2 linked regions of the Cricetulus griseus genome follow. The protein of the gene in region 1 interacts with the protein of each later gene in a biochemical or structural test. Links are inferred from orthologs where the notes say so. Each region holds a gene or a part of one and is shown in the gene's direction. Other genes may lie near its edges.

Region 1 (15,613 bases):
CAAAAACAAGATGGAAGGAAAGAACTGGCTCCTGAAAAGTTGTCCCCTAACTTCCTTTCTCCCACGCCCCCCCCCTTCCACTTGCTTGCTCTAGAACACACATGTACTTGTGATAAATAGTCTTTAAACAAATGAAAATAAGGTAGGCAGTGGTTGAGGAAGACACTTAAAAGTCGATCTCTGTACTCCATATGCATCTTAACACAGGTGCACAAACACACATACACACAAATGAACACATACACACCCAATTATCTTCCAAGATAATTGAATAATTTCTGTTCTTTTATTGTGTATCACATTGAAGATACTGTGATAATAGTAGTTAAGATTATATTCTGTGGTAACAGTAGCTGAGAAAAGTATGTTGGGATCACAGCAGAAAAGCTTGGCTGCAACTAACTCTCATTGCATTATTATATCCAAGGATGTCTCATTTGAATGATGCAATTCTACAGCAACAGAAATCGACTAAACCAAGATATGCTGCTTCAGTAACTCTGAATTACCCTTAAGCTTTAAAACACAAAATAAGACAGCTGAGCATGGTAGTACATGCCTTCTTAATACTTTGGAGGCAGAGGCCAGCAGATCTCTGAGTTGGAGACCAGCCTGGTCTACATAGCAAGTTCAGGACAGCCAGGAGACACCCTCTATCAAAAAACACAGTAAGCCATTTTCTATAGATCTATACTCAATTGTGGTTTTGTTTCTTCTAAAATTATATTAAAACTAAATAAAAACTAGGCAAAGTACTGTGGCAAACACCTGTGGCTTCAGCTACCTGACTGGATAAGAAGTTCAAGCTAGCCGGGCATGGTGGTGCACGCCTTTAGTCCCAGCACACGGAAAGCAGAGGCAGAAGGATCTCTGTGAGCTTGAGGCCATCCTGGTCTACAGAGTGAGTTTCCAAAGAGAAAGCTACACAGAAAAACACTGTCTCGAAAAACCAAAATAGAAAAAGAAAAGAATTTATTCAAGCTAAGCTTGGGCAAAGATGTATATTACTTTACTTCTGAATATTTCAGGATTGTCTACTTTTTAGTTGTAAAATTACTTGCTAATTTTCTTTTTCTAAAGTTTAAAAAATATATGTGTGAGTGTTCTGCCTGCATGTATGGATGTATATGCACCACATATGTGCCTGCTGCCTGCAGAGGTCAGAAGAAGGCATTATTGGATCCATTGGAACTGGAGTTAGGGATAGTTGTGAACCACAGTGTGGGTGCTAGGAACTGAACCTGTATCTTCTGTGAGAACAAAAGTGCTCCTTACTGCTAAGCTTCTCTTTAGCCCATTTGTTCATTTTCATTGAGGGCAAAGAGAGTGTGTGTGTGTACATGGGACGGGGGCAGGGTCTTGCTATAGCCCTAGACCTTATTATGAAGACCATGGTGGCTTTGAATTTGCAATAATCCTCTTCCTCCTGAGTTCTTGGATTACAGATGTGCACCACCCACACAGACCAAAGGTTTTCCCTAAGTAGAAGTGGCAGAAAATAATTTTTCCCCACTAATTCTGTAGAGTGAGAATAGGAATAAAAGTTTATAATACTAAAAACATCTGTTATGTGAAACAGTACTATAGTTAAGAATTAAATACTGTTAAGAGTGTGGGACTGAGACAAGGTCTCTCTACATAGCCCTGGCTATCCTAGAACTCACTATGTAGACCAGATTGACCTCTAACTCAAAAGAGATCCATCTCTTTCTCTGCCTCCTGTGTGCTGAGAATAAAGATGTGTGCCACCATGCCTGGCCAAAAAAGAAAAAAAAAAGTGTTTCATTTCTGGGAAATAGTTTTAGCTACAAATGCTTTTTAAAACAGTATTCTGGAGATGCTGTGATGGAGGAAAATATAAAAGTTTGATCTCTATTCCTTTTGGAGAAGAATGTGAGTCAGAGGAAATAGTTTTGGTCTCAGGGGCAGAGGTGTTTATTCAACTACCTTGAGATTTTTATCTATTTCTGGACACAGTTGTGTTCCATTGTTGTGTTTTTCTGTCTTTAAGCCAGTATCCATTATCATACTATCATAGTTTATCATAGTCAGTTTTGAAGTTGTTCACTGATACCAGGATCGCCTTAACCTAAATTATTTGTATTTTTAAATAAACTTTAGAATTGATTTGGTAGTCTTTTCAAAAGGCAGTTATAACTGGGCTTGTGTTGTGCATGATTTGGGGAGTCATTTTAACATTGATCCTTATTCATTCATTCATTCATTCATCTAATGTGTGCATATGTTTTGCCTGCATGTATGTTTGTGCACCAGACTTGTGACTGATGCTTACAGAGTCCAGAAGGGGGAAATGGATCCCCTGGAACTGGAGTCACCATGTAGGTGCTGGGAATTGAACCTCCTCTTTAAGGGCAACTGTCTCTTCAGCCCCCATTGATTCTTCCTACCAACTATATAATATATCCTTCCATTTATTTGGATTTTCTTGATTATTTTTATTTGTTTTTCTCTCAGAGTGTTCTGTTGTATTGAATGTTGAGATCTTACACATGCAGTTAAGGAGTCTATTTGGCCTGGCATGGTGGTGCACACCTTTAATCCCAACACTCAGAAGGTAGAGGCAAGCAGAGAGCTCTAGGCCAACCTGGTCTACAGAGAGAGTCCCAGGACAGCCAAAGCTGTATAGAGAAACCCTGTTTTGTTTTTTTTGTGTTTTTTTTTCCCCTGTAGTTTTTTGTTTGTTTGTTTGTTTGTTTGTTTTTTAAACTGGGCAGTGGTGGTGTACACCTTTAATTCCAGCACTCAGGAAGCAGAGGCAAGTGGATCTCTTGAGTGTGAGGCCAGTCTGATCCACAGCACTCGGAGGCATATCTCTGTGAGTTCGAGGCCAGCCTGGTCTCCAGAGCGAGTGCCAGGATAGGCTCCAAAGCTACACAGAGAAACCCTGTCTCGAAAAACCAAAAAAAAAAAAAAAAAATTGTATTGAAATAAAAACTTGGGGCTGGAAAAATGTATCAGAGGTTAAGAATATGTACTGTTCTTGTAGAGGACCTGAGTTTGGTTCCAGTCACCCATTTCAGGGTGTTCACAACTACAATTAACTCCAGTTTCCGATAGATTTGCCATCTCTGACCTTTGTCGGCACCCATACTTATGTGTATGTAGGTGCATACACACATAGTTAAAGCTAAAAAATACTTTAAAAGAAAACAAAACTTATTTAAAAATCATACTAAAATGTCAGTGACTGAGTGGTTTTTAATCCTTGCCCACAATATTTACGTTTTTGGGGAATATTAGAGAAGTTTATTTACCTGGCTCCTTTCTAACTTATAGAATTTATTACATTTGCTTAGTTGTATTGCTTTGAGATTTTTGAGATTGGGTTTCACTATGTAGTCCTGGCTAATCTGGAACTCACTTTGTAGATTAGGCTGACCTTGAACTCATAGATCTACTTGCCTCTTCCTGGGACTGAGCCTGGCTCTTAGCATTTGTTTTAGAGTCTATGTGAAGTGACTGAAGAAATAGAAAAGTAATTAGATGTATTCTTTTTCTTGAAGAACACAGTCATTAGTAAGGAAGTTCCAATACTTCACTATTTCAGTCTAAGTGGCGCTTTTCCTAAGACTTGAAATGCAAAATTGAATTATAGTTAGACACAGTGGCACATGCTTGTAATCCCAGTGCGCCACAGACTGAGGCAAGAGAATGACCACAAATTTGAGGCCAGTCCAGGCTACATAGTGAGTTTAAGGCCAGCTTGGGCTAATAGCAAAAGTTAAAATTGTAGATCTTTGTAATTTCGCTACCAGTGAAACAGAATATGCCAGACCATAACTGATTTGAGCTTGAATTGAAATGAGTTTCAGAACACCTTCACATGCCATTTTGACAATCCTAGGTTCTTAGAGCCCTGATGACCCATCTCAGGACTATTTTGTCCCTCACTGCTTTTTACTCCTATGAACCACATTTGATTTGCTAAAATTGAGCATGAGCTGCTATGAGTTTCATTTTGTTTGTTTCTTCCTCCCATTAGGTCCAATACCTGCTTTTGCTTTTGGAAATTTGGAATATCAACATGATAGTTTTATTCCATCCCCTTCTTCATTTTCTTCAACTTTCAGCTAAATACTTTTTGCCTGTGCCCTTAATGTGAAAAGACCATTATTTATTATTAAGAAAGCCCTGTCAGCAAACATTGAATAAGACCATTGAATATACTTTCCATTCATATAGTTACCCTTTGAGCAGTACCTGGGAACCTAATTACTTAATATGTTCACTAAGCAAATCTCTCTTTTTATTTCAGTTGGAAAGACATCCTTGATCACCAGATTCATGTATGACAGTTTTGACAACACCTATCAGGTACTTTGTTTTTGCCAATTTGTTAAATTTGTCTCTTAATGTTAAAAGGAATGGTTAAGGTATTTTTAAAAGTTCATTTATTGGAATGCAGAGGCAGGCAGATCTCAGTGAGTTTGAGACCAGCCTGGTCTACAAGAGCTAGTTCCAGGACAGCCTCCAAAGCCACAGAGAAATCCTGTCTCAAAAAAAAAAAAAAAAAAAATAAGGTTCTTTTATTTACATGCAGTCGTAGATACAAAAATGCTCTCTATGGGCCACGACTTTAATCCTAGCAGTTGGGAGGCAGGTAGATCTCTGAGTTCCATCCCAGGACAGCCAGAGCTATCTACACAGAGAAACCCTGCCTGGACAAACAAAAAACAAGGAAAAGAAAAGAAAATTGCTTTCAATGATGTATACATTGTTATATAAACACGAAGTATAAAATAGTCTTGTCTGTAGTTCCAGCCTTACTCCATTTGCTTCTTTCAAAGTTTATTGAAAAATTATCTTTAATATTTTCTTAGATGGAATTAGAAGGGATACTAGATATTCTTACAGAGAATTCATCCAAGACTTCTAAGATTCCTTTTTGGGAATTGATTTCAGTTTATGATGTATAAAGGATTCAGGCCATCATGACAGGAAGGTTATAGTAGACTAACTAGTACAATTCACTTGTCAGTGGATCAGAAGCAAGGAAGGACACACCAGCACGAAGCTGCTTTTCCTTTTTCCTCTTTTTCTTTTAAAATTAGATTTATTCATTTTTGCGTTCGTGCATGTATATGCACCATGTGCATGCTTTGTGCCCATGGGGTCAGAAGAGGGCATTGGATCCCCTGGCAGTGAACTTATAGATGGTTGGTAATTTTAGGCTTCCTTACCCCACCTTTTTTTTTTTTTTTTTTTTTTTTTTTAAACCTTTTAAAATTCTTTATTATTTAACCAGGTACACAGAATTTTGCACTGTGTTTGGATCGCAGGAGGTACTTAGTATTGAATGACAAAGAGAAAAATTTGTTTTCCTTACTTTAATACATTACTTTATATTAGAAGAGTCCTGTCCCTTTGAGAATCATACTTCTGGGTCTCTGGCTGTCTGTGACACTAACAAGCAATTATGTGGGAAGTTTAGGCATGATTATGTTTACATTAACAATATTTCATAAAATTGCTATTGGGTCTGATAATAGCCATTCTGACTTGGGAACATTAAGATATTCAGACTAAGATTTGTATTCAGATATTTTAGTATTCTGGTACACACAAAAATCCCCATTGTCTTGTTCTCTATAAAATGTGAAAATTAGTTATCTTTCATGAATGAGGATGAGAATTGATCACATAAAGGGCCTGAGGTAATTAGTCTGCAACACAGAGCTAGTGCTTAGTATATGGAACATTGGCTTTTCTCACTTGGCTAAAGTGTGGTTACATATATATCCATTTTTCTTTCAAATTCATATGTCCTATTTGTATCCTAAACTGTTGGCTGCCAACAAACTATTATTTCTTGCTAACTCTTTTGTTTTGTTTTATAGGCAACAATTGGCATTGACTTCTTATCAAAAACAATGTATTTGGAGGATCGAACAGTGAGTAATATTTTCAGTGTGCAGTTTTCTGCAACACTCCAGGCTAGAAGACAAGAATCACAGGGGTAGTCAGCAATTGTCCCCATCAGAAGTGCTTTGGCAAAATCATCAAAATTAGATCTTGAGAAAAATTTATTGCCGAGTTGATTTGGCACTCTTGATTTCTTATTTCCATTTCACATCCAAAGGAAGAAAGTCAAAATTTGTTTGTAGAACCCTGATGTCCTTAGGCTTATTTTGCTGTCTTGATTTAGAAAAAGGAAAAAAGGCCACATGCCTTTAATACCAGCACTAAGGGGGGGCAGAGGCAGGTGGATCTCTGTGAGTTCGAGGCCAGGCTAGTCTACAGAGCAAGTTCCAGGACAGCCAGAGCTACACAGAGAAACCTTGTCTCAAAAAGAAAGAAAGGAAGGAAGGAAGAAAGAGGACAACAGATTAATTTATAAGAGAATTAATGGAATTTTCATGAAGAAATTAGAGCTGCTAAAGACCTTTTGAGCACCACTCAGATCATTCAGAAAGGTTTCATAATTTGTGGACTTAAAGACTTTGTCAGAGAAGAACATGTAACAGAGTGGTTGAACGGGGAAAATATATGTCAGATTTTTATCTTCCTTATTGTTGAGTGTTCCCTTAAAAAAATTATATTTTAGGGCTGGAAAGATGGCTCAGAGGTTAAGAGCACTTCCTGCTCTTCCAGAGGTCCTGAGTGCAATTCCTAGTAATCATAAGGTGGCTCACAACCATCTCCAATGAGATCTGGTGCCCTCTACTGGAATGCAGGCATACATGCAGGCAGAACACTGCATACACAATAAATAAATAAATAAATAAATAAATAAATAAATAAATAAATAAATACCACCAATTCTTATTTTAAAAAATTACATTTTGGCCTACTCCTCCTTGAAGAGACTCCTATCACCAGCTTAAACAGTGAATAACTTTAATGCACCCAAAATATTGCATTATCTCTAGTGTTTATTTATTTCTGAAGTATGGGTTTCTTTTCCTCTTGGATGTTTTCGTATATAATACAGCTTTTCTTAAAAACTTGAGAGTTTGGAATCTTTAAAAAAAAATTGCAGACACCCCCCCCCCCCCCATTATCCACAGTGTTCGGGGCAGAAATGTATAGAAGAAACATACACACAGTAGTCCCAGACCCAGGAAATACACATTTTAACTTTAGAGAGGATCTCAGAGAAGCATTACTTACTGTGTCATCTGATAGCTTCAGATTTGCATTAACATTTGCTTTCATTCTCTCTCAGTATTTGTAAATCAACAGTCTGCTTTTTCTTCTTTTCTTTCTTTTTTTTTTTTTTAAGATTTATTTATTTATTATGTATAGTGTTCTGACTGCATGTATCCCTGCACTCCAGAAGAGGGCACTAGACTACATTACAGATGGTTGGGAACCACCATGTGGTTGCTGGGAATTGAACTCAGGATCTCTGGAAGAACGGGCAGTGCTCTTAACCCCTGAGCCATCTCTCCAGCCCCTTTTCTTTTCTTTTTGAGACAGAGTTTCTCAGTAGCTTTGGAGGCTGTCCTGGAACTCGTTCTGTAGACCAGGCTGGCCTCAAACTTACAGAGATCCACCTGTCTCTGCCTCTCAAGCGCTGAGTTTAAAAGGCGTGCACCACCACCACCACCACCACCACCACCACCACCACCACCACCGCCCAGCCCAAGAGTCTACGTTTTATCATTTGGAAGATAAGATACTGGGATTCAAAGTTATGGGGAGGGATGAGGAAAACCTTATTTCTGATTCTGTGAAATCTTTCACAAAGCATTTTCAGTAATTGTACCTTTAAAACGAGCAACTTCATAATATTTCTCACTTTTCAGAAATGAGTTTTATGTTTTCATTCTTCTGTATTAAACCTCTACATGAGTTATGTACCACTCATATTACAAAACTCATTCCCTTTTTTTTAAGTATTAGTTTTTTTGGGTTTTTGTTTTGTTTTTCTGTTGTTTGTTTTTTTTTGGTTTTATTTATTTTTTCCCATCCCACAGATCAGGCTGCAGCTGTGGGATACTGCGGGTCAGGAACGTTTCCGTAGCCTCATTCCCAGTTACATCCGTGACTCTGCTGCAGCCGTAGTAGTTTACGATATCACAAGTAGGTATACTGCAATGGGTTGACCTTTCTTACTTTTCTTGCTTGTTTGACTGATTTTGTTGTTAGGTGCGATTGCAATTATGGGACACAGCAGGTCAAGAGCGGTTCAGGAGCTTGATTCCTAGCTACATTCGTGACTCCACTGTGGCTGTTGTTGTTTATGATATCACAAGTGAGTGGGGGGAATTATGCATTTCTAATCTTCTTTCAACCTTTAGCTTAGCTGCATGCATGTTTTGTCTTGTGCTTGTTTTCCTTACTGGCATGTAAAATGTTTTATCATAGCAAACTGTATCACAGACTAGCCAAATCAGAAATATTTGCCTCCATGTTTGTACCAATATGCTTTATGTCTCTGTGCCAGGGTTTTGATCTTCAGAAATTGTCTTTTGGATCTATTTATGAATCTTTTTCAAGGCTTCTATAATAGCCTCTTATCCATAAACTATCCTATAATTATAATTAAAGGAATATTATTCATTAGTTTATCTTAGATTTCAAAGATAATCTGTATAAGTTTCTTGCCAAGTATTGCAGATCCTACATGGCTTTTTTGGAGGCTTTAAAAAGTTTCTGCCAGCTGGAGTTTTCTCTGCTTACCCCTTCCAGTCATTCTCTTACATAGAGAAAAACAGAGAAACACAATGTGTATTTTTCTGTTAGTCATTTTTGTTTGAGTATATGGATTCTGTGACTGGTTTTCTTTGTTGCTAACACATTACACTTTCATTTCTCTCCAAGAAAAAATTTAAATGGAAAATAAAACAGTATTTTTATTTTCTTCAAGACCTGAGTGCCTTTTGGTCTTTAAGTGACTATAAAATTTCCACTGAGCATTGGTGACTGCTCTCTGGTGAATTTATCTTTATAAATTGTTTTATTACACATGTAAAGCAATGTTGAACATCATTCCATAGACTAGCCCATAATTTATGGGAAAAACAAGGTTATGCAGCATCTTGGACTTGTGTAAAAATACCATGTCTAAGCAGCTGATTTGAGCTAGTCATATTACTAGAAATTTTTGTATATTCACTCAAAAGTCATAGTTACCAAACAATAATTACAGTGGCAAAAATAAGAAGATTATATTCCATGATGTATTTTTCTTCTTTTTTTTTTTTTTTTAAACTTTTTTGGGTATGTGCTGTATGCTGTGTTTCTTCTCTTGCAGCTTTACTTTAGGTTGCTACTTGGGGTTGTTTTTGTTTTTTAATGTTTATTATAATGCATTGGCCTGTTTTGTAGCTTTAAAGTGTTTGTGTTTACTTTAACCAAAGCTTGTCGTAGTTTTCTTCTAACTCCACGAATGTGGTTAAAACACTAGGGAATTTCTTACTTTAGCTGCTAAAAAGCATATTGAAGTATTCTAGCTAGGATCTAATACTTACAAAGAATGAATTCAGTTAGAAGTGAACCTGATACATCAAACTAATGAACTTCAGGTTGCTTCACATAGACTCTAATACAAAACAAATTCAAGAGTCAGGCTCTGAGGTGTATACCTTTAATCCCAGGAAGAGGCAGATAGAGGTAGAAGAAAGGATTTTTAAAAATCTGGTTAAAGTGATCACAAACTAAGTAAGCAATGCAAGCACAGTGGTGTTGAAAGCCTTTATGAATTTTCTGGATGTGTTGGGACTTCTGGCTGACATACTTTTGAAATGCTTTCTTTGTCATGTTTGGTATGTATTAGTGTAAGTGATCAAAAAAAGCATTGTGGCAATGTAACACCATATTATCTGCTGTAGCTGTGTTTAGATGTCAGAAAGCTTTTGGTTTTTATAATTATGTATTACTTTTACAATAGTTTGGTTATTGTCAAAAAAGCTTTTCTCTAAAATGAACTTTGAATATTTTTTTTTCTACTTCAGATTCATCTAAATCACTGACAGTTGTAATCAGATAAAATGGAGTTACGTTGTAGGCACATTAAAAATGGGGTCTTAATGTGCTGTCCTCCCTTCCCTCTTTCAGGGTGTTTGTGGGAAGTGTTGTCCTTCACTGGGGGTGGCATTTTCAGTAACACTAATCCCTCTGTCCACTCTCAATGCCAGATGTTAACTCATTCCAGCAAACTACAAAATGGATTGATGATGTCAGAACAGAAAGAGGAAGTGATGTTATCATCATGTTAGTAGGAAATAAAACAGATCTTGCTGATAAGAGGTATGAAATAACTGAATGCTTGGTTTCTATGTTAAGCAGCATGTTTGTTTACTAAAAATTGGCTTTGAAAAGATGTTTACATTTTTAACAGTTGGTAAATTATTACATAAATTGTAACAGCAAATTGACATGCACTTTTTGCGTAAAACTTAAAATTACAAGGCTAAATTCATATGGTTTAATGTTTTTAGTATTTTTTATTTTTATTTGTGTGTGTACCTGCTTGTCTGTATATGCACTGCATGTGTTCAGGTGCCCACCGAGACCAAAAGATGGCATCATACTCCTTGGAGTTAGAGACAGCTGTGAAGGGGGTGGGGGGATGGGATGCTTACTCTTTGGTTTTTCAAAACAGGGATTCTCTATGCAATGGTCCTGGCTGTCCTGTAACTCACTCTGTAGTCCAGGCTGCTCTCAAACTCAGAGATCTCCCTGCCTTTGCTTCAATCCTGAGTGCTGGAATTAAAGGCGTGCATCGACACACCTGGCCTGACACTGTCTTTTTTTTTTTTTTCTTTTTTAAGTCATTAAGAGGTTAGGAGTACTGGATGCTCTTTCCAGAATAGTACTGGCTGTTCAATTCCCAGAACCCACATGATACTCACAACCATCTGTAGCTATAGCTCCAAGGGCTCCAATGCCCTCTTTTGAAATTGTCCATAGGTACTAATTATGCATGTGGTAAATAGACATGAAATTTAGTTTAAAAAGAAAGAAAGAAAAGTTCTTAAGCTGTATATGCTCGTTGGTAGAGCTCTTGCCTAACATGTTTAAGACTTAAGTTCAATTCCCAGTATGGGAGGCGGATATAAATATACACACAAACACAGACATGTAATGTACAGCTCTTAAATGCTACAAACAGTTACTAACAATATAACAGTTGTTTATATAACCAACACCAATAGAATCTTTGTTTATAATCTTAGGATTTCATCTTTCAAAAAAAAAAAATTGTTGCCAGGTCTGGTGGCATACACCTTTGATCCTAGCACTTGGGAGGTAGAGGAGTTCGAGTTTTAGACCAACCTAGTATACAGAGGGAGTTCAGGACAAACAGGACTACACAGGAAAACTCTGCCTCAAAAACAACCCAAATAAATAAAATAAGAATTTGTCATTACTTTTTTTTTCTATAGGCAAGTGTCAATTGAGGAGGGAGAAAGGAAAGCCAAAGAGCTGAACGTTATGTTTATTGAAACCAGTGCAAAAGCAGGATACAATGTAAAGCAGGTAAGTTTTCTTTGAGTGTGAAATGTTTGTTCCTAAATTAAGAAAATGTGAAATAATTGTGAGTAAGCTAATGTTTAGTGCAAAGTTTTATTTCATTTAGCAACAGCAACTAGAATTCATAGAGTGAGAAAAAAGTAATGCAGGTGATGGTGAGTGAGTCCATGAGAGACCAAGTAAAAGGATATCAGCTATTTATTGGGGAACACTTACAAATAACAGTAAGATAGAGAGCCACTGGGGTCTTCTGTTCTGTCCTGGGGTCAATGGAACACAAGAGAGCCAGAGACCCCCTTTCTAAGAGATCACATCCACACATAGAAATCACGCCCCAAGACTGGTTTCCCCAAAACTGTTGGCAAAATGAATTCGCGCAGCACGTTCCCTTTTTTGTAAAAAAAAGAAAAAAAAAGTATTTACAAAACTGTTCAGATTTTACACAGGATAACAAATTCATTGTGATTGCAATATTTCTGAGTATAAAGTTCTGAACTTCCGAAGTCTTACTACATCCCTGCTTCATTGTCTTAAATGTAGACTTTCCTTATTTCAGAATTTGGTAGTCAAGACTTACACATGAAAACTACTATTTGACTGCTGTAAAAGTACATTCTTATTACTTCATTTTTTATAAATTGATGGTACTTAAATTTTACAAAAGGAAGCTGGGCAGTGGTGGTGCATGCCTTTAATCCCGGCACTCTGGAGGCAGAGGCATGACAATGTACCCATGGCTACATCCCCAAAGTTGGGGTGGGGGGGTGGATTTCTGTCCCCAACAACTGTCAGTGAAAATAGCTTCTCAGCTAAGAGTAGGGCCTTGTTAGCTCCTCCCCAACCCATGCTGAGATGTTGACTGGCTTGTACTTGTGCAAGTCTAGGTAACCACAGCTGATGTTAATGAATGCAGAGTCCATATCATATCAAGAAGGCACCATTTCACAGCATTCCTCCCATTTTTCAACACTTAAATTCCTTCAAACCCTTTTCTGAGATGTTCACAGTGCCTTGGGGGTGGAGGTGAGTTAGTGAGCACTCACATGCTTATTTTCAGCAGTTTGACCAGTTATTAGTCTCTATATTAGCCACTGTCCACTGCAGAAAGATTTTGTGAACAAGACTCAGAGCTGAATTAGTAATCTATGTGTGGTGGCGCACACCTTTAATCCCAGGCCTCAGTAGGTAGAGGCGGGAGGATCTCTGTGAGTTCCAGGACAGCCAAGGCTACACTGAGAAACCCTGTTTTGGGAAAAAAAGAAAGCATCTAATTGGGGGGCTTGCTTACAGTTTCAGAGGGTGAGTCCATGGCGATTATGGGGAGGTGGGGGGCGGGACTGGAAGGCAGGCATGGTACCAGAGCAGTAGCTGAACACTTACTTACATCTGATCCTTGAACTGAAGGCAGAGAGAGAGAAAGAGATAGCTAATTGGGAATGGCTGGGCTTTTGAAACATTTCTTCCCAAACAGTTCCACCAACTGCAGAGCATTCAGACATATGAGCCTATGGGGCCATTCTCATTCTAACGATCACACAAATAAACAACTAAATATATAAATACAGTTTACTGAGTCCATTCGGTGTTGCAAGCACAAAAGTTTCTAGGGCTGACTATCTGGTACTGGATAACTTATTAGGGGGCTCATCTCTGGGGAAGACTAATTCTCCCTTTCTCAGAAATTGTTAATTGCTTATAGCTCTTCTAGGAATGGAGTCCAATAAGATTTTCTCCATCTACATTGTGATGCCAGCTGTTTTTGGAATAAGTTTTAGGCAGCCTAGTTGGGAGATTTTTAATTACTGCTTCAGGCTCATTGCTTGTTCTGGATCTATTTAAATTATCTCATTTTGGTTTAATTTTGGTAGATCATATGCCTCTAGAAGTTTATTCATTTTTTTTTTAGCTGGTCCACTGTAGTGGAATATATGTTTTTTTAGTTTCATTGGCATTTGTTGTAAGAACTCCCTTTTTATCTGTCTCTCTGTTTTTTTGTTGTTGTTGTTGTTTTGTTTTTTTGGGGTTTTTTGTGTGTGTGTGTGTGTGATTTTTCGAGACAAGGTTTCTCTGTATTGCTTTGGAGCCTGTCCTAGAACTCAATCTGTAGACCAGGCTGACTTCAAACTCACAGAGATCCGCCTGCCTCTGCCTCCCGAGTGCTGGGATTAAAGATGTGTGCCACCAACACCCGGCAATAAATAGATTTGTTTATTTGTTATGTACACAGTGTTCTGTCTGCATGTATCCCTGCATGCCAGAAGAGGGTACCAGATCTCATTAAAGATTATGAGCCACCATGGGTTGCTAAGAATTGAACTCTGGTCCTCTGGAAGATCAGTCAATGCCCTTAACCTCTGAGCCATCTCTTCAGCCCTCCCTTTTCATCTCTAATTTTATGAATGGGGGTCTTTTTGTTGGTCAGTTTGACTAAAGGATTATCTTATTTATCTTTTCAAAAAACCAACTCTTTGTTTTGTTGATTCTTTGTATCCTTTGTTGTTAATTCCTGATCATAGTGATTTCTTTCCTTCTACTGATTCAGTTTGGCTTCTTGTTTGTTTGGTTTTTTTTTGTTTTTGTTTTTTTTTCTGGATCGTTAAGGTGATTTTCCTAATGTAGGCATTTAGAGCTATAAACTTCCTTCTTAGAACTGCATTCATTGTATCTCAAGGGTTTGTTGTGTTTTCATTTTCATTTAATTCTAGGAATGTTTTTTAATTATTGTTTGAATAATTCAAGGACCCATTCATTGTTTGGTTGTATTGTTTGATCTCCATGAGTTTGTGTGCACTCTAGGGTTTCTATTGCTGTTTTCTTCAAGCTCAGATATTCTGTCCTCTCTCTTTCCTTGATCCATTCTATTACTGAGACTTTCCATGAAGCTTTTTATTTGACTTTTACTATACTTTTCTAGCATTTCAGATTGGTTTTTCTTCAGTATTTGTTTTTGTTGAATCCCTCTTTTATAGCATCTATCACCTTAACTATTTTGTCCAGCTGTTTGCATGTTGAACATAGGTCTTACATTGAGTTCTCTGGGATTTCATCTGATTTCACTAGATGCCATTATTGGAGGGTTAGTAATTTTTTGGAAGAGTTATGTTATCTGTATCTGGGTTTTTGTTTTATTGCATTAGGGGTTTTACAAATGGGTTTGTTTGTTTTCTGTATTCTTTCAGTTGAAGTATTTGTAATATTCATATGGGACTTGGATATGCTAAAATTTAATATGTGGTCCATAAGCTCAGGATGCCTGGTATAAGTGCCTTGTTGTCCCCTGAGTTAGGATATTGACTTGGAGAGAGAAACTATAGCTGTTTGATTACACCACTGTGCAGAAGTCATACTATCCAGTTTATAGTTGAGGATAAACAACCACAGGTAGTTCATCAGAGTAGGCTTCAATTTTAGTAAGATTAGGAGATTAGTTAGTAAGATTGGGAGAGACATGGGGTGGGTAAGGATAAGGATTACATATTAGATCAATTTGGGGTTGGGGGTAAAAATTGGGATGGTGCTGGGCAGTGGTGGTACACACCTGTAATCCCAGCTTTCAGGAAGCAGAGGCAGGCAGAGGAGTGAGTTCGAGTTCAAGGACAGCCATAGCTGTTATACACAGAGAAACCCTGTCTCAAAAAAAAAAAAAAAAAAAAAATGAGATGGGAATAAAATAGTTCCTTCACATCCCTACATTTACTATGACCTCTCCTGGTTCTGCAGATCTGGTGTATGTCCGGAGCACATGGTTCCTCTTGTCCTGTTACTGTGTTACTATGTATTGTGTCAGATCTATTAAACAGTTTACATTTTGGTGTGCTAATGTTGGAGATATGTATGTATGTATGTATATATGATTTTTTTTATCACTGTATAGTAGCTGTAAGATGACAGTAATAAATCCTTACTATCAGTTATCTTGAAGGTCTTAATTGCCTTCTTGATGCAGTCATCTATGTGAGGAGTAACCTAAAAGCTATGTCCTTTGCTTGCCAATCATGGTCATCATCTTAATACCTTCTCTTCTCACAGCTTTTCCGACGTGTTGCTGCAGCTTTACCTGGAATGGAAAGCACACAGGACAGAAGCAGAGAAGACAGTATCCTTTTTGTTTTTAAGGAAAGTTTACTGTCTAGCCAGGTGTGGAGGTACATGCCTTTAGCCCCAGCACTTG
Region 2 (15,613 bases), on another chromosome or scaffold:
AAACTAATCCCCTAAGAGCTTTTTCTATCAACCAGGGCCTATAACTATATTAAACCTCTTCACTAACTTCCTGACAGAGGAAAAACTGAACAGTATTACCATACATATCTGTAATCAAAATAACAACAGCAACAAAGCCAAGTTCATAGCCACTGAATTAAAAGGTAGGAACCAATCTATGCACAACTTTCTGTAATTAAAATATTATCTAGCTGAGCCAGGAGGTGGTGGTACACGCCTTTAATCCCAGCAGTGGCAGGTGGATGGATCTCTGTGAATTTGAGGCCAGCCTGGTCTACAGAGTTCTAGGGCAGCCAGGATCATACAAAGAAACCCTGTCTCAAAAAAAGAGAAAGGAAATATCTAACTGAGTGTGTGTTAGAATATACCTATAACCCCAACAAACAGCAGACAGAGGTAAAAATTCTTGAGGACAAGATCAGATGATGTGGGGCTACATAAAGATTTGGAGGCTATCAACAAAAACAAACCTTTATAACCAACTTAAAGACATTTCAGCAAGACTTCTTCCAAAGGCACCAGGCAAACTCATAGTACACATGCATACATGCAGGCAAAACACTGCTACACACAAAACAACAATGGTAGTAAAAAATTTAATAGTAAAAGCCAATAAACAAAAAAAGCAAAATAAGTATTTTCCTAGACAATTCTCAAGCAAAACAACAGAAGAAACTAAAGTAGTATAATAGAAATAAAAACCTTTGGCTGGGTCTGGTGGCTTATGCTTTTAATCTCAGCACTAGAGAGGCAAAGGCAGGCAGATTTCTGTTGGGTTCAAAGCCAGTCTGGTCGACAGAGTTCCAGACAGCCAGAGCTATATAGAAGAGGCCCTACCTTGAAAAAATGTTTCCAAAACTTTTGTGCTGTAAACAATACTAATCAAAACAGTGCAAAGACAGCTGGAGAGATAGCTCAATAGTAAGAGCACTGGCTGCTCATCCAGAGGACTTTGGTTCAATCCCCAGCACCTCAAAACCTCTTTGGTGCCTCAAAACCTCTTACTCCATCTGTTACTCCTGTAACACCCTCTTCTAGAATACACATGTTAGATAATATACAAGCAGGCAAGCCGGGCTTTGGTGGCACACATCTTTAATCCCAGCACTCAGAAGGCAGAGACAGGTGGATCTTTTTGAGTTCGAGGTCAGCCTGGTCTAGAGAGCAAATTCCAGGACAAATTCCAAAGCAATACGGAGAAACGCTGTCTCGAAAAACAAAAATATATATAATTTTTTATACATGCATGCAAAACTCATACACATGAAAAATAAACGACTAAAAAATTGTTTCTTGGGGCTGGAGAGATGACTCATGGGTTAAGAGCACTGCCCATTCTTCCAGAGGTCCTGAGTTTAATTCCCAGCAACCACATGGTGGCTCCCAACCATCTGTAATGTAGTCTGGTGCCCTCTTTTGGCCGGCAGGGACACATGCAGGCAGAACACTGCATACATAATAAATAAATCTTAAAAAAAAAAAATGTTTCTTGGGGGCTGGAGAGATGATAGTTCAGTGGTTAAGAGAACTGACAGTTAACCAGAGGACCCTGGTTCAATTCCCAGCACCCATGTGGCAGGTTACAACTGTCTGTAGCTTCAGTCCAGGGGATCTGACACCCTCACACAGACACACATGCAGGCAAAACACCAATGCACATAAAATAAAAATAAATTAAAAAGAATTCTTAAAAAAAAAAGACAGCATACAAAATAGGAGAAATAGTTCTAAATTGTCAAAGAATTAGTCTCCAGATACACAAAGAATTATAATGCAATTATAGAAAGGAATAAAAAAAAAAAACCAAAAATCAAAAATGGACAAAAATTGAGCATAACTTTCTCCATTAAATATACAATGCCTATATGGCCACATGAAAATATGCCACACAGAGAGAAATGCATATCAAAACTACAATAAGGAACTAGATGTAGTGGCTCAAATTTGTAATTCTAGGCGAGAAGGCTGAAAAGGGGACATCACTGGGATGTCTAGGTTAGCCTGAACTACATATATAGACCCTGTCTTAAAAAAACAAAAAACAAAAGGAGGGGGCTTAGAGGTTTTCCAGCTGCTTTTCCACTAGCTGCTTTTCCAGAGGACCCAGGCTCAATTCCCAGCACCTACATGGCTGGTAACTCCAGTTCCAGGGACCTGATACCCTCACACAGATATACATGAAGCCAAAACACTAATGCTCATAAAAATAAATAAAAATTAAGAACAAAAACAAAGCTGGGTGTGGCAGTGCACAACTTTAATCCTAGCATGCAGGAGGCAGAAGCAGGTGGATCTCTACGAGTTGGAGGCCAGCCTGGTCTACAAAGCTCTAAGACAGTGAGTTAGGGCTGTTACAGAGGAAAACAAAACAAAACAACAATGTACAAAGAGTTGGCTCAGCTGGATCTTTGTTTGATCCCTAGAACCCACAAGGTGGAAAAAGAGAAACAAATCTTGCAAGCTGCCTTCTGACCTCTACACTTCTATGCACATACAAACACGCAAATAAATATTTAAAAAACTGGTGATGAAATATGACTTTATATTACCAGTATGGCTACAATAAAGGACAGGAAATATTGTGAAGCACATAAAAAACCTGAAGGTGATGGGGATATAGCTCAGTTGGTAGAGTGCTGATTTAGCAAGCACGAAATCTTAATTTGATCCGTACTACAAAAACCAAGCCTCAGTACATGCCTATAATCATAGCATTCAGGAAGTAGAAGCAGGATCAGGAGTTCAAGGTCATCCTAGGCTACACAGCGAGGAGTTTGAAGCACGCCTTTAATTCTAGCACTGAGGAGGCAGAGGCAGGCAATCTCTGTGTTCAGGCCAGCCTGGTCTACAGTGTGAGTTCTAAGATAGCCAGGACTACACACAGAGAGACCCTGTCTCAAAAACAAAAAAGAAAAGAAAAGAAAAGACTCAGTACTACAGCCCAAGAAATCAGATATCTTAGATTTCTTACCAGTTCTGATCTCCACTCCTCATAACAGAAGATGCTAAACACAACTTCTCTCGGATGGACCATGGCTCTGTTGGGCCAGTACTCAGCAGCTTGTGCTCTGGGAATAAAGAAGACTTAGAAATGACCACTGAGGGCAGGCGTTGGTGGTGCATGACTTCAATCCCAACACTAGGGAGGCAGAGGCAGGCGGATCTCTGTGAGTTCAAGGCCAGCCTGGTCTACAGAGAGAGTGCCAGGATAGGCTCCAAAGCTACACAGAAAAACCCTGCCTCAAAAAATACAAAAACAGAACAGAAATGACCACTGGGCAGCAGGGGTGGGGTGGGGTGGGGGGATGAGGGGGGGAAGCACACGCCTTCAATCCCAGCACTGGGGAAGAAGAGGCAGGTGGATCTCTGAGTTCGAGGCCAGCCTGGTCTACAGATCGAGTTCCAGGGCAGGCTCCAAAGCTACACAGAGAAACCCTGCCTCGAAAAACAAAAACAAACAAAAAAGAAATGACCACCGAGGTAGTTCTAAGTCCCAGAACAGCTAAAAGCCTGATTAAGGCCAGCCAGGGTCCTGCCTCAAAACAAATCTCAATCTTGTTCGAACAAAGTGAACTACTACCACCAATTATTTATGATCACCAAATCTTGACTTTCATCATTCCAATAAAATACAATCACTACCAGCCATGATACCTGTTCTCTGAATACGCATTTATAGAACATTTTATTTGTTCAAAGGCCATGGCCTTAAGATCTGCTTCAAAAAAAGGGGCAGTGTTACGTTTAATTAAAGAAAAAGGGGGGGGGGATCTCCTTAAAGACCCAGTTTTATAACTTTATTCCAGTTTGAACGCAAGCTTATTTCCCAAGATTCCCAGCGGCCACCGGCTCCTACTGCCCACCTCCTCCTTTGCATAAAGTTGTTTGTTTACACCCCAGCCCCTCCCCTCAGCCGTCCCGCATAAGGCTGCTAGTCAGTGAAACCGGAAAAAAAAAAAATGGCTGGAGATTCGCGAAACGCATTTTTCCCCCGGCGGCAGGAAACGCCCACAGTTAACAGATCTCATTCCGACTGTTTCACACAGGTTGGTTAGAAAAACAAGCGAGCGGCAGGCCAGTCGGTACTGCCTTTACGCTGAGGGTCTTTAGCCTGGACAGCGCCGAGCACACAAAGGCCCCCTGCCCCGGCGGCGTCTCCAGCCTCCGTTCATCCCTGCAACGCTCAGACCCCAGGCAACGGCCCTGACGGAGAGCGCCACGGAAGGCAGGTCTCTGACAACTCCCTCCTCGGACACTCCCTTTGTGCATGACGAAAATGGGATGCCGAGCCTCGGCCCTACAAAGGCCTTGAACGTCAAAGCGGCTTACGATACTCACTGCCCGTCCCGGTCGCCATTTTAGCTTCGACGTCTTCAACGCCTGCGAAAGACGCGGGGAACTCTGGGAAATACGGGACCAGCGTCCATTCGCGGGGCCTCCTGGGTAATGTGGGTGGGTCAGTTTGCCCCAGTAGAAGTCAGCCTTAGTTTTTGTTTTTTTTCTTTTTAAACTAACCCAGGGCAAGGGAGAGCAGCTGAAGCCTCAGGAAAGAAACGTCTACAGCTAGAGCTTCAGAGTTGAGAGAAACGAATCCCATAACGAATAACTTGGAATCCCCGACAGTTGGTAACCGGACCCACATTAGAGACAAACGGCCTCCCGGTGGGCTCCGCCGCCTCCCATTCGCTGATTGGTTTCTTCAGACTTCGCGTTCTGATTGGTGGGACGAGCCCAGCGCGCAATTTAAAACATTGTCCGGGGACAAAGCTGCGCCTCGTGGGCGGAGTTGTGTTCTCCGGTAGAGTCTCCGTTCTGCAACTGGGTGGGAGCTGGGCCGGAGAAGCAGCGAGGTAGACCGTCTTCGGGTAGGTGCAATTGGGCTGGAGCGCTTCAGCTCTTGCCTGGGTGGCACAGTCCTCAGGACACCCCCCCCCCGCCGTGTCTTCTGTCATCCCTTGAGTTGCCTCAGTTATGTTAGGAGTGAGGTTGGGAAAAGTACCGTAGGGATCCTGAAACACACTTGCACTGGTGGGCCTGTAGACAGCCTCTGTGGGGGCGCGCGCGGCCTTCTGCTTTTAGAGCTGATTACCTCTCGGTGCCTATTCGCCTTCAGAAATGCAGCCTCGGGCTGGTTATTCTCATTCTTTTCCCCTTGGCTGATAGTGGTTTATAGTCGCGACCGAGTGTCCTGGGCAAGGTCATCCCCCTCACCAGGGGATTGGTTTCAGCCCACAGGTTTGCAGTTTGTTTCTCTCTCTCTCTCTCTCTCTCTCTCTCTTTCTTTCTTTCTTTCTTTCTTTCTTTCTTTCTTTGTTTGTTTTCGAGACAGGGTTTCTCTGTGTAGCTTTGGAGCCTATTCTGGAACTCGCTCTGGAGACCAGGCTGACCTCGAACTCAGAGATCCGCCTGCCTCTGCCTCCCGAGTGCTGGGATTAAAGGCGTGTGCCACCAACGCCCTGCCCAGGTTTGCAGTTTCTGTGTGTTAATGTTCTTCTACCCATTTACTTTTTTTCTTTTTAGTCGTTGGCTGACTCTCCTTGCCATGGATCACGGGATCCTTTCTCCGCCGGCGGACTTACTGTCCGATGAGGATGTTCTAGTCTCCCCCATGTTTGAATCCACAGCTGCAGACCTGAGGTCTGTGATCCGAAAGGACCTGTTGTCAGAGTGCTCTGTCATCTCCACGTCTCTGGAAGACAAACAGGTAAAGGAGTCGAGTGGCTTAGAGGCAGAAAGTGATATCCTCAGCTGGGTGGTGGTGACACAAGCCTTTGATCCCAGCACTCGGGAGGCAGAGGCAGGTGGATCTCTGTGAGTTCGAGGACAGCCAGGGCGGTCACACAGAGAAACCCTGTCTCGAAAACCCAAAACAAAAAAAAGGGCAAGGGCTGGAGAGAGAGATAGCTCAGCAATTAAGAGCACTGGCTACTCTTCCAGAGGTACTACATTCAATTCCCAGCACCGACATGGTGACTCACAACCATCTGTCATGAGATCTAGTACCCTCTTCTGGAATGCAGGAATACATACAGGCAAAACACTGCATACAAAATAAATCTTTTTAATAGCAAACAAACAAACAAACAGGGCAAAACAATTGGAAAATAGGTGATGGCACATGCCTTTAATCCCAGCATGAGGCAGGCAGATCTCTGTGAGTTCAAGGTCTGGTCTACAGTGCTAGTCTAAGATAGCTAGGACTGTTAGACAGAGTAACCCTGTTAGGGGTGGAGAGGAGGGAAAAATATTATTGGCATTATGTTCCTGAAATACCCCAAGTTCATCATGTTTTCAGTTAATTGATGAGGGGATAATCTTATTTCTCCAGTATTTATTTATGTTAAATAAGAGGTGAAAGGATGGAGAGTGTGAGAATGCATGTTTGGTATGTCCTAGGTTCAGATCTTAGCACCAATACAATGTTTGCACATGACCATAGTGGCCTTAACTAGGTAGAATGGAATTCATGTTTCAATAATAACCATAGCTGCCTTTGTTTTAACCTTTCATTTGTAAGGCCAAAGATTCTCAGTAATGGCACTATTCATGTTTGGAGTCAAACCCTTGTTGGAGGGGGCTGCCCTATGCTTGGCAAGATGTTTAGTAGCATTTCTGGCTGCTATCCACCAGATGCATTACCTTTTCACTAATTGAAATTCAGTGTCCTTGGGAATAGACATTCTCTAAATATCTGCTGAATAAACAGAGTGATTGCTGTTTAACTTCATTCTTCAGATAAGTCACTCAGAACTTTGTTCATGGTCTCCTAATTACTAAGTGATTAAATTGGAACTCAGATTCAGGCATGTCTATTCTTATTTGATGGTGTCTGTGGTGTGAGTGTGTGTGTGTGTTGGGGACACACATGTGGAGGTCAGAGGACAACTTTGTAGAGTCAGTTCTCTTCCATTTTTATATGGATTCATATGATTGAACTCAAGTTGGCAGTCTTGTTCAGCAAGCTGAGCCATCTTGCTGACCCAATTTTCATTACTGAGCTTTGAAAAAAAAATTATTGAATTGGAACATTGGCTTAGGGTTAAGAGCCCTTCCTGCTCTTCCAGAGGACCCAAGTTAAATAAATTAAAAAAAAAAAATTGGGGGGGGGTAGTCTTTGTAGTCAGTCACTGGCTTTAAGTTTCCGATTCCCATGTCTTCTTACTACTGGATATTGGGATTACAAGCACACACCACCATCCCTGGTACATGCTGGTTTTCAAACATCAACCAATTCTAACTCAGACCACTGGAATAGCAAGCCAGATTTGCAGGGCAGTGATGAGACAGGAAAGGATACAAAGCTCATGTGAGCTAGAATGATTGTGGAACCAAAGAATAGTTAGTGATACAGGATCATTGAGATAGGATTGGTAGCATGCTTCCCAGGAACTGGGCTGTTTGCCCATTTGCTTAGAGGTTAACTCTATGTCCTGGCTGAAATCTGTTACAGGCTCCATTTGAGGACACTGCAGAGAGGGTGAAAGTTTACCTTCGAATCAGACCCTTCTTAACTTCTGAGTTGGACCGACAGGAAGACCAGGTGAGGATTTAAGGTGGAATAGTGTAGTACAAAAGAGGCTCCCTAGGAATGCTTCTTTACTATGGTGACCTCTACTTTCTACTTCTCAGGGCTGTGTCCGTATTGAGAATACAGAAACCCTTATGCTACAAGCACCCAAAGATTCCTTTGCCTTGAAGAGCAACGAGAGGGGAATTGGTCAGGCTACCCACAAATTCACCTTTTCCCAGGTATGCAATACTGGTGTAAGAACATAGACCCAATACTTTATCTTTTCTGGGATTAAAGATGTGTGCCACCTCTGCCCAGCTTTATTTCTTCTTTAAAAGATTTCTTCCTAAGTGTGAGTTCTTTATGTGTGTATCTATAACTTTGGGACCTTGTCATGTGCCAGTCAATGTGTCGGGTACTTTATATGCATTCACTCCCACCTGTTATAATTACTATTATCTCTTTTCCCTGATGAGAATACTATGGCTCATATTACAATGAAGGTAATTTTGCTGAAACCATAGAACTAGTAAGTGGAAGACAGGACTGGGATCTAGAGCCACCATCTCCAAATCCTTGCTTATACCCAATTATACTATCCCCTTATATGCACAGCATCACAAAAAGCAGTCCTTAAGTATTTAATTTTGAAGAAAAGGACTAGCAGAGAGGGATTGAGTCTTCAGCATTTAGGAACAGCTGGAGTCCAGCTGGAAAACCTGCTTGAGTAGTCCCCAGAGAAGGAGCACACCTACTAGTCCTACACAGGAAACATGGCAGTGTGGCCTCTGATAAACAGGTCTGTTTTAGATATTTGGACCAGAAGTGGGACAGGCACCCTTCTTCAACCTGGCTGTGAAGGAGATGGTAAAGGATGTACTCAAAGGGCAGAACTGGCTCATATACACATACGGAGTCACCAACTCAGGGAAAACCTACACAGTTCAAGGTAAGTAGTGAGCTTCAGCAGGGTTACTAACCAGCATCTATCTAATGGTTGTCTTTACCTTTGGATGCCAAGTGAAAGACACTATCTCTGATATTCTTCCAGGTACTATTAAGGATGGGGGGATCCTGCCTCGGTCCTTGGCTCTCATCTTTAATAGTCTCCAAGGCCAACTTCATACAACACCTGATCTGAAGCCCTTGCTCTCCAATGAGGTAATCTGGCTGGACAGCAAGCAGGTTCGACAGGAGGAACTAAAGAAGCTGTCCTTGCTAACTGGAGGCCTCCAGGAGGTGAAGTATTGGTGAAGCTGGGATAAAGTACAGAATTCAGGAAAGACTTGTGCTTATCTTCTCTCTTTGCCCCTTCAGGAGCTGTCCACATCGTTGAAGAAACGTGTCCACATTGACAGTCGGTTGGGTACCAGCACCAGCTTTGACAGTGGCATTGCTGGGCTCTCTTCCACCAGTCAGTTCACTAGCAGTAGCCAGCTGGATGGTATGTACCATGAGTAGGCTCTGTGCTGGGCAATGGTGGGGACCCACTCCCTACACCCAGTAGCTAGCTGTGAGGGGTATAGGTCAGAGACTGCAACTTGAAGTCCATCTTTTGAAGTTCCTATAGATCAAGGCAAGATGAAATGCTCCTTGGTTAATGAACTACAAACACTTTGGTTTTTTTCATAGAAACAAGTCAGTCATGGGCACAGCCAGACACTGCCCCAGTAAGTGTCCCAGCAGACATTCGCTTCTCTGTCTGGATCTCCTTCTTTGAGATCTACAATGAATTGCTTTATGACCTGTTAGAATCACCTAGCCATCAGCATAAGAGACAGACACTGCGGCTGTGTGAGGATCAAAACGGCAATCCTTATGTCAAAGGTATGCAAAGGGAGAGCAGGTTGCTAGGAAACCAGGAGGGACATGTGGGCAAATTGGAAAAGGGGCTAAGTGTTCCCACCTTTCTGTCTTGACCCCAGACCTCAACTGGATTCATGTTCGAGATGTTGAAGAAGCCTGGAAACTCTTGAAAGTGGGTCGTAAGAACCAGAGCTTTGCTAACACCCACCTGAACCAGAACTCTAGTCGAAGGCAAGTTATGAGAATTAACTCTTCCCTGTGTCTAGGAAGCTTTAGTTCTCCACCTGATTGTTGAAGACATTATAGTGATTTTTTTTTTTCCCCTTCCTTTTCAGTCACAGCATCTTCTCAATCAGAATCTTGCACCTTCAGGGAGAAGGGGATATAGTGCCCAAGATCAGTGAGTAAGTTTTCCCACTTAAAACTGTGATCATCTTGGCCACCTAGTTGTGGGGGCAAGGGGAACTTCTCAAAGGAATTAATTGTTCTCCTTCTTTGGGTCCAAAAAAAAAAAAAAAAAGGTAGGCCCTTCCCTTACCAGAATTATATAAGCTATGAGTTCCTTATACCAGATCCTACACATTATTCCATCCAGACTGTCACTGTGTGATTTGGCTGGCTCAGAGCGCTGCAAAGATCAAAGAAGTGGTGAACGGCTAAAGGAAGCAGGAAACATTAACACTTCTCTGCATACCCTGGGTCGATGTATTGCTGCCTTGCGACAAAATCAGCAGAACCGGTAAGCTGTAGGCAAGGATGGCCTGGGGCTTGGTGATTTGGTCACTTACAGGTCACCAGTGAGGCTGGAGCCTAGAAACTTCCAGGGCTGAAGTTATGTTGACAATGCTATTTATCTGATTCTCTGCAAGGTCAAAGCAGAACCTGATTCCTTTCCGAGACAGCAAGTTGACTCGTGTGTTCCAAGGCTTCTTCACTGGTCGAGGCCGTTCATGTATGATTGTCAATGTGAATCCCTGTGCATCCACTTACGATGAGACTCTTCATGTGGCCAAGTTCTCGGCCCTTGCCAGCCAGGTGTGAAGCTATGGGCATGGATGACGGTGCTTACTTTGGACTGGCAACCCTAGGATAGCTCTTAGGAACTAAAGAGTCAATTAAGATTTTTTTTTTCTTCCTGTAGCTTGTGCATGCCCCACCTGTACATTTGGGAATCCCATCCCTGCATTCATTCATCAAGGAACACAGTCTTCAGGTATCCCCTGGCTTAAAGAAAGGAGACCACACCGACTCAGGCCTTGATGACCATCCTGAAAACGAAGCTGACATCTCCATGTATGGCAAGGAGGTGAGATACAAGAAAGCGCTAGATAGCAGCTTGATGGCTGTACATTTTCCCTAGTGTGTTCCAGATGGGTTTGGGTCTTTTGCTGCTGGAGGATCTTAAGATCTCTTACAGATGTGTTCTTTCTAGGAGCTATTACAAGTGGTGGAAGCCATGAAAACACTGATTTTAAAGGAACGACAAGAAAAGCTGCAGTTGGAGATGCAGCTCCGGGAGGAAATTTGCAATGAGATGGTAGAACAGATGCAACAGCGGGAGCAATGGTGCAGGTACTGGCCAAGTGACCCTTTCTACTGAGTTGTTGGGTCTAGGGGCACAAAAACTGGAGGAACAGACCACCAAAGTCTGAAACAGAAGCAAACTTTATTCCAAAAAATTGGGGTGGAGAGATGGCTCTTCTAACTGCTCTTCCAGAGGTCTGAGTTCAAGTCCCAGCAACCACGTGGTGGCTTAAACCTCTATAATGAGATCTGGTGCTCTCTTCTGGTGTGAGGCATTCATAGAGGCAGAATGCTATATACATAAAACAAATAAATAAATCTTTCTTTAAAAAAAAATCACCATGGGAAATAAAAAGCTTACCAGTTAACTGGGACCACAGCTAGAGATCTGGCTTCTGAAAATGGCAATAGGGGCTTGTTTTGGGTCAAAGAGCTTTTACAACTTTGAGGTCACGTTACATTTTAAGTTATACAACTTTTTGTTAAAGGATGTTAGGGTGTTAACTTGGGGTGTTTGCAAAAGCCTGTGGTTGATACAGCAGGTTTTCATTGTCCCTGAAAGAACACAAGGCACAGAATAGAGTCACATAGGAGAAAGGTTTAAAAATTAAGGGAATACAACAACTCCTCCTGCAATAGTTAGAAGCTAACCTTGGTCTGCTGTGCCTGCCTAGCTGGGAGGTAGGAGACAATTTACCTCTGTACACAGTGGCTGCCAGGGTGTCTGTTTTGTTGGGTTTTTTTTTTTTTTTTTTTTTTTTTGAGACAAGGTCTCCCTGTAGCTTTGGAACCTGCCCTGGATCTCACTAAGCAGACCAAGCTGAACAGATAAATCCACCTGTCTCTGCCTCCCAAGTGCTGGGATTAAAGGCGTGCACCATCACCGCCTGGCAAGGATATCTGCTCTTAAGGCAGAAAGTAGCTGTTGAAGGTTAAGAGCGGCTGCCAGCTTTGTGGGTTGTTTTTGTTTTTGAAAATGTGTTTGGACTTATAATTTTATATATCTATATTCCTGTTCCCTTTATTTCTGCATCCCTATTTCTGGACCTTTCTGAGTCAACTATGATATAGGGGGCAGAAGGGTGGGTTTGTGCCTCAATTTCACTCCTCAGAATCCTCACTACCTACCCTTTTCTGTCAGTGAGCATTTAGACCACCAAAAGGAACTGTTGGAGGAACTGTATGAAGAGAAGCTAAAGATCCTGAAGGAATCATTGACAAGTTTCTACCAAGAAGAGATTCAGGTGAGTTTGCCCCAACCAGTCCCAACTGCCACTCATAATTCCATCGGTTAGTTGTCTGAAATAAAAAGAATTTCTACTTTTATTTGTTTATTTATTGGTTAATTTGGTTTGTGAGACAGAGTTTCTCTCTATAAGAATCTTGGCTATCCTGGAACTCTCTGTAGACTAGACTGGCCTCAGACTTGGAGATCCACCTGCCTCTCTGCCTCCTAAGTGCTAGGATTAAAGGTGTTTTAGAAACTCTAGTAACAACAGGAATGTATACTCCTTTTTCTTCATTTCCCTTAGTGCCTTGCAGTTACTGAGTTTAGGTTCAGGGTTCAAGGTCAAGATTTATGTTTGTTTAATCTGGTCCTTTGGTATTTGTCTGACCCTGGACAGAATTGTGCTCTCTGCTTCCCTCTTAGGAGCGGGATGAAAAAATTGAAGAGCTAGAAACTCTATTGCAGGAAGCCAAACAGCAGCAGCCTGTGGCTCAACAGTCAGGGTCTGAACTGTCCCTACGGCGGTCACAAAGGTTGGCAGCTTCTGCCTCCACTCAGCAGCTGCAGGAAGTTACAGCTAAACTAGAGCAATGCAAAGCAGAGTTAAACTCTACAACTGAAGGTGAGGAAGGAAGGCAGAAAGCCCTACAGTGGTAGTGGGCGAGGGAAGAGCTGGTATTCAAACTCCAAGCTGCATCCACCCACATCTTACTCTAGAATGCACATTGCCTCACTTTGGCTATGTACTACTGTTAAAAAGGTAAGCCAAAAGCTGAGAAAAACCTATATTAAGTGTACTTATATTGTGTTTCCCCCTCTCAGAGCTGCAGAAGTATCAGCAAATGTTAGAACCACCACCGACAGCCAAGCCCTTCACCATTGATGTAGATAAGAAGTTAGAGGAGGGCCAGAAGGTATTAACCTTTCTCTGTTATCAAAGCACTTTATCTGGAATTTATGTGAAAACGTGGGAGCTTGTTTTTGGTTTATTTGGAAAACCAGTTTTTGCTTTACATTTATTTATTTGTGTGTAGTACTGTGGGGGCCACATGGGTTCCATATGGGTTCCTGAGACTGTCAAGCTTGGGGAGCAAGTGCCCTCACCAACCTCCAGCCTCCATAAGTCTGTCTTCAGATGGCTGCCATGATTGATTTTGGCCACAATGTGATTCCTACTCTTTCAGAATATAAGAATGCTACGGACAGAGCTTCAGAAATTAGGACAGTCTCTCCAGTCAGCAGAAAGGGCCTGTTGCCACAGCACCGGGGCAGGGAAACTTCGGCAAGCCTTGACCAACTGTGATGACATCTTAATCAAACAGGTGAGTGCAGCCTAGATATCCCTCCCCTTTTTACCCCCCTCCAGTGTATATGTGAGAAGGAACTGACAAAGATGTACTAGTGAAAAAATGATGCTGATGTCATGTTGGGGGTGGGACCCAATGCTTCGTATATTCTAAACAGGCACTCCACCACTAAGCTATGACCTCTCCTGATGCCAGAGATCTTAAAATTTATACTTTTTAGACTGAACATGGTACTTGATACCTAGGGACAGGCTGAAAGTTCTGGTCTTTGTTTTCACAAGATGATGGGTTCTCTCTATTTAGTGCTGGCTGGCCTAGAATTTAGAAATGTTAGGATTTTTTAATTGTTTGTTTTTTGAGGCAAGGTTTCTCTGTAGCTTTGGAGGCTGTCCTGGAACTCCGACCAGGCTGGCCTCAAACTCACAGAGATCTGCCTGCCTCTGCCTCTCAAGTGCTAGGATTAAAGGTGTGTACTACCACACCCATTGAAGATTCAACCTTTGAAGAAACTAGTAATAGATGGCACATTTTTTTTTCTCTAACTTGTATGTTTCTTAGAACCAGACCCTGGCTGAGCTACAAAATAACATGATGCTAGTGAAACTGGACCTTCGGAAAAAGGCAGCCTGCATTGCTGAGCAGTATCACACTGTGCTAAAGCTCCAAAACCAGGCTTCTTCTTCTAAAAAGCGGCTGGGAACAAACCAGGAAAACCAGCAACCAAATCATCAACCCCCAGGAAAGAAACCATTCCTTCGAAACTTACTTCCCCGAACACCCACCTGCCAAAGTTCGACAGACAGTGGCCCTTATACACGGATCTTGCGCTCACGGCACTCTCCTTTGCTCAGATCTCCTTTTGGCAAAAAATACTAAAGTTGTGGAGATGAAAATGCATGCTTGATGCTCTGAGATTGGTCAGCTGCTCAGCTTGTCTCTTAAGCTTCAGCATATATGTATATATATCCTGAACTGTATTCAGAATTATTATAATACCTATATAATCTCTTTTTTTTTTTTCCCATGCACAAATATACTGAATAAAGACATGGTTTATGCTTTTATTTGGATTCCAAACTTAGAAAAATATAAAAAGGGGGACAGAAACTGATATAAATACCATCTGGCCCGTTGGACCCTTGGACAGGAACAGCAATGGGAACCAGCCTAAGGCGCACTACAAAATGAGTCAAATGGCAATACATATTTGAAAGGTTTGTTTTTTGTTTGGTTTTACTATATATGTAGCTCTGACTGGCCTGGAACTTGCTGTGTAGACAGCTGGTTTCAAAAAGTCCACCTGCCTCTGTCTCCAAAATGCTAGGATTAAAGACATGCTCCACAATGTCCAGATAATGTTTCTTTATAAATGAAGTCTTAAAAATAAAAGGGGAATAAAAATGTTCTGAGCACAAGAGAAGGAAGTCTACACCTTAACACAGAATGATCTAATAGCATCACATAGTACAAACATAACAAACATCAAGAACACAGAATGATTCCCTCAACCTTGAAGGTAAGGTTGAAAACAGTATTATTTACTAAAAGATGCCAGCATGAATTTTAATATCAGAAATAAAAAAGTTACTTTCAAATGTCCACAAGGTTATCTGCAATCTGGTCTCCTTGTGTTGCTTTCATCAGGGTATAGTTAATGCTATAGCCATCTCTGCCCTCAATATGAGCTACAGTTCATGCTCATTGAGACTTCCACTTGAAAGGTTTTAGAAGACTCCCTTTGAAAACCGTCTTCCCAAAGATCATGGATAGCTAGCTACATTCCATTTAAACCTAATCTCTGACATCACAATAGAGGCCACATTTGGCAAAATAAAGGTCATTCTAGCCAGGCCTCATGGCATATGCCTGTAATCCCATCATTAGGGAGGCTGAAGCAGGAAGGTCCTAGCCTAGGCTACACAGAGGTCATTACACCTGACCTCCCTACTGCCAGGAGGGAGGATAATCTTTACCTATCCTTGCCTATCCACTCCCAGCAGCATTAAAAACCTTGTTTGTGTAGCATTGCTTATGGTAAAGTGCTGTGAAAGGGGTTTTTGGAGGTGGGGAAGACTATGGGAAGGCCAAGAAGTGCTTGCTGGAAGAAGACAGTACTTGTCCCCTGCCATAGTTCTGTCTGCCTCTGAAGGTGATTCCATAGGCTGTCCCCAAGGCTGTTTCTATCTGTAAAAATGAGAAGAGCTTAGGTCCTTGGGA

Evidence for each region.
Region 2: the proteins of Rab6a (region 1) and Kif20a form a complex in vitro, tested with the Homo sapiens proteins (2 studies listed by BioGRID). The link is inferred for Cricetulus griseus from reciprocal best matches to the Homo sapiens genes RAB6A and KIF20A.

What each region holds. Positions count from the first base shown.
Region 1 is NC_048596.1:98,875,424-98,891,036, reverse strand, and holds part of Rab6a (ras-related protein Rab-6A), read left to right. Parts: intron 1-4,276; coding exon 4,277-4,335; intron 4,336-5,858; coding exon 5,859-5,912; intron 5,913-7,940; coding exon 7,941-8,046; intron 8,047-8,112; coding exon of another isoform or gene 8,113-8,218; intron 8,219-10,103; coding exon 10,104-10,215; intron 10,216-11,354; coding exon 11,355-11,448; intron 11,449-15,471; coding exon 15,472-15,538; intron 15,539-15,613. UniProt on the Homo sapiens protein: The small GTPases Rab are key regulators of intracellular membrane trafficking, from the formation of transport vesicles to their fusion with membranes.
Region 2 is NC_048595.1:202,844,911-202,860,523, reverse strand, and holds Kif20a (kinesin-like protein KIF20A), read left to right. Parts: upstream 1-4,747; 5' UTR 4,748-4,886; intron 4,887-5,541; 5' UTR 5,542-5,563; coding exon 5,564-5,725; intron 5,726-7,471; coding exon 7,472-7,561; intron 7,562-7,650; coding exon 7,651-7,770; intron 7,771-8,341; coding exon 8,342-8,480; intron 8,481-8,582; coding exon 8,583-8,770; intron 8,771-8,848; coding exon 8,849-8,975; intron 8,976-9,163; coding exon 9,164-9,358; intron 9,359-9,456; coding exon 9,457-9,568; intron 9,569-9,672; coding exon 9,673-9,741; intron 9,742-9,932; coding exon 9,933-10,076; intron 10,077-10,206; coding exon 10,207-10,372; intron 10,373-10,478; coding exon 10,479-10,643; intron 10,644-10,769; coding exon 10,770-10,909; intron 10,910-12,002; coding exon 12,003-12,105; intron 12,106-12,512; coding exon 12,513-12,711; intron 12,712-12,911; coding exon 12,912-13,003; intron 13,004-13,273; coding exon 13,274-13,411; intron 13,412-13,954; coding exon 13,955-14,272; 3' UTR 14,273-14,458; and 1 more. Other genes in the region: Brd8 (bromodomain-containing protein 8), read right to left, coding at 2,993-3,089, 4,360-4,378. UniProt on the Homo sapiens protein: Mitotic kinesin required for chromosome passenger complex (CPC)-mediated cytokinesis. Following phosphorylation by PLK1, involved in recruitment of PLK1 to the central spindle. Interacts with guanosine triphosphate (GTP)-bound forms of RAB6A and RAB6B.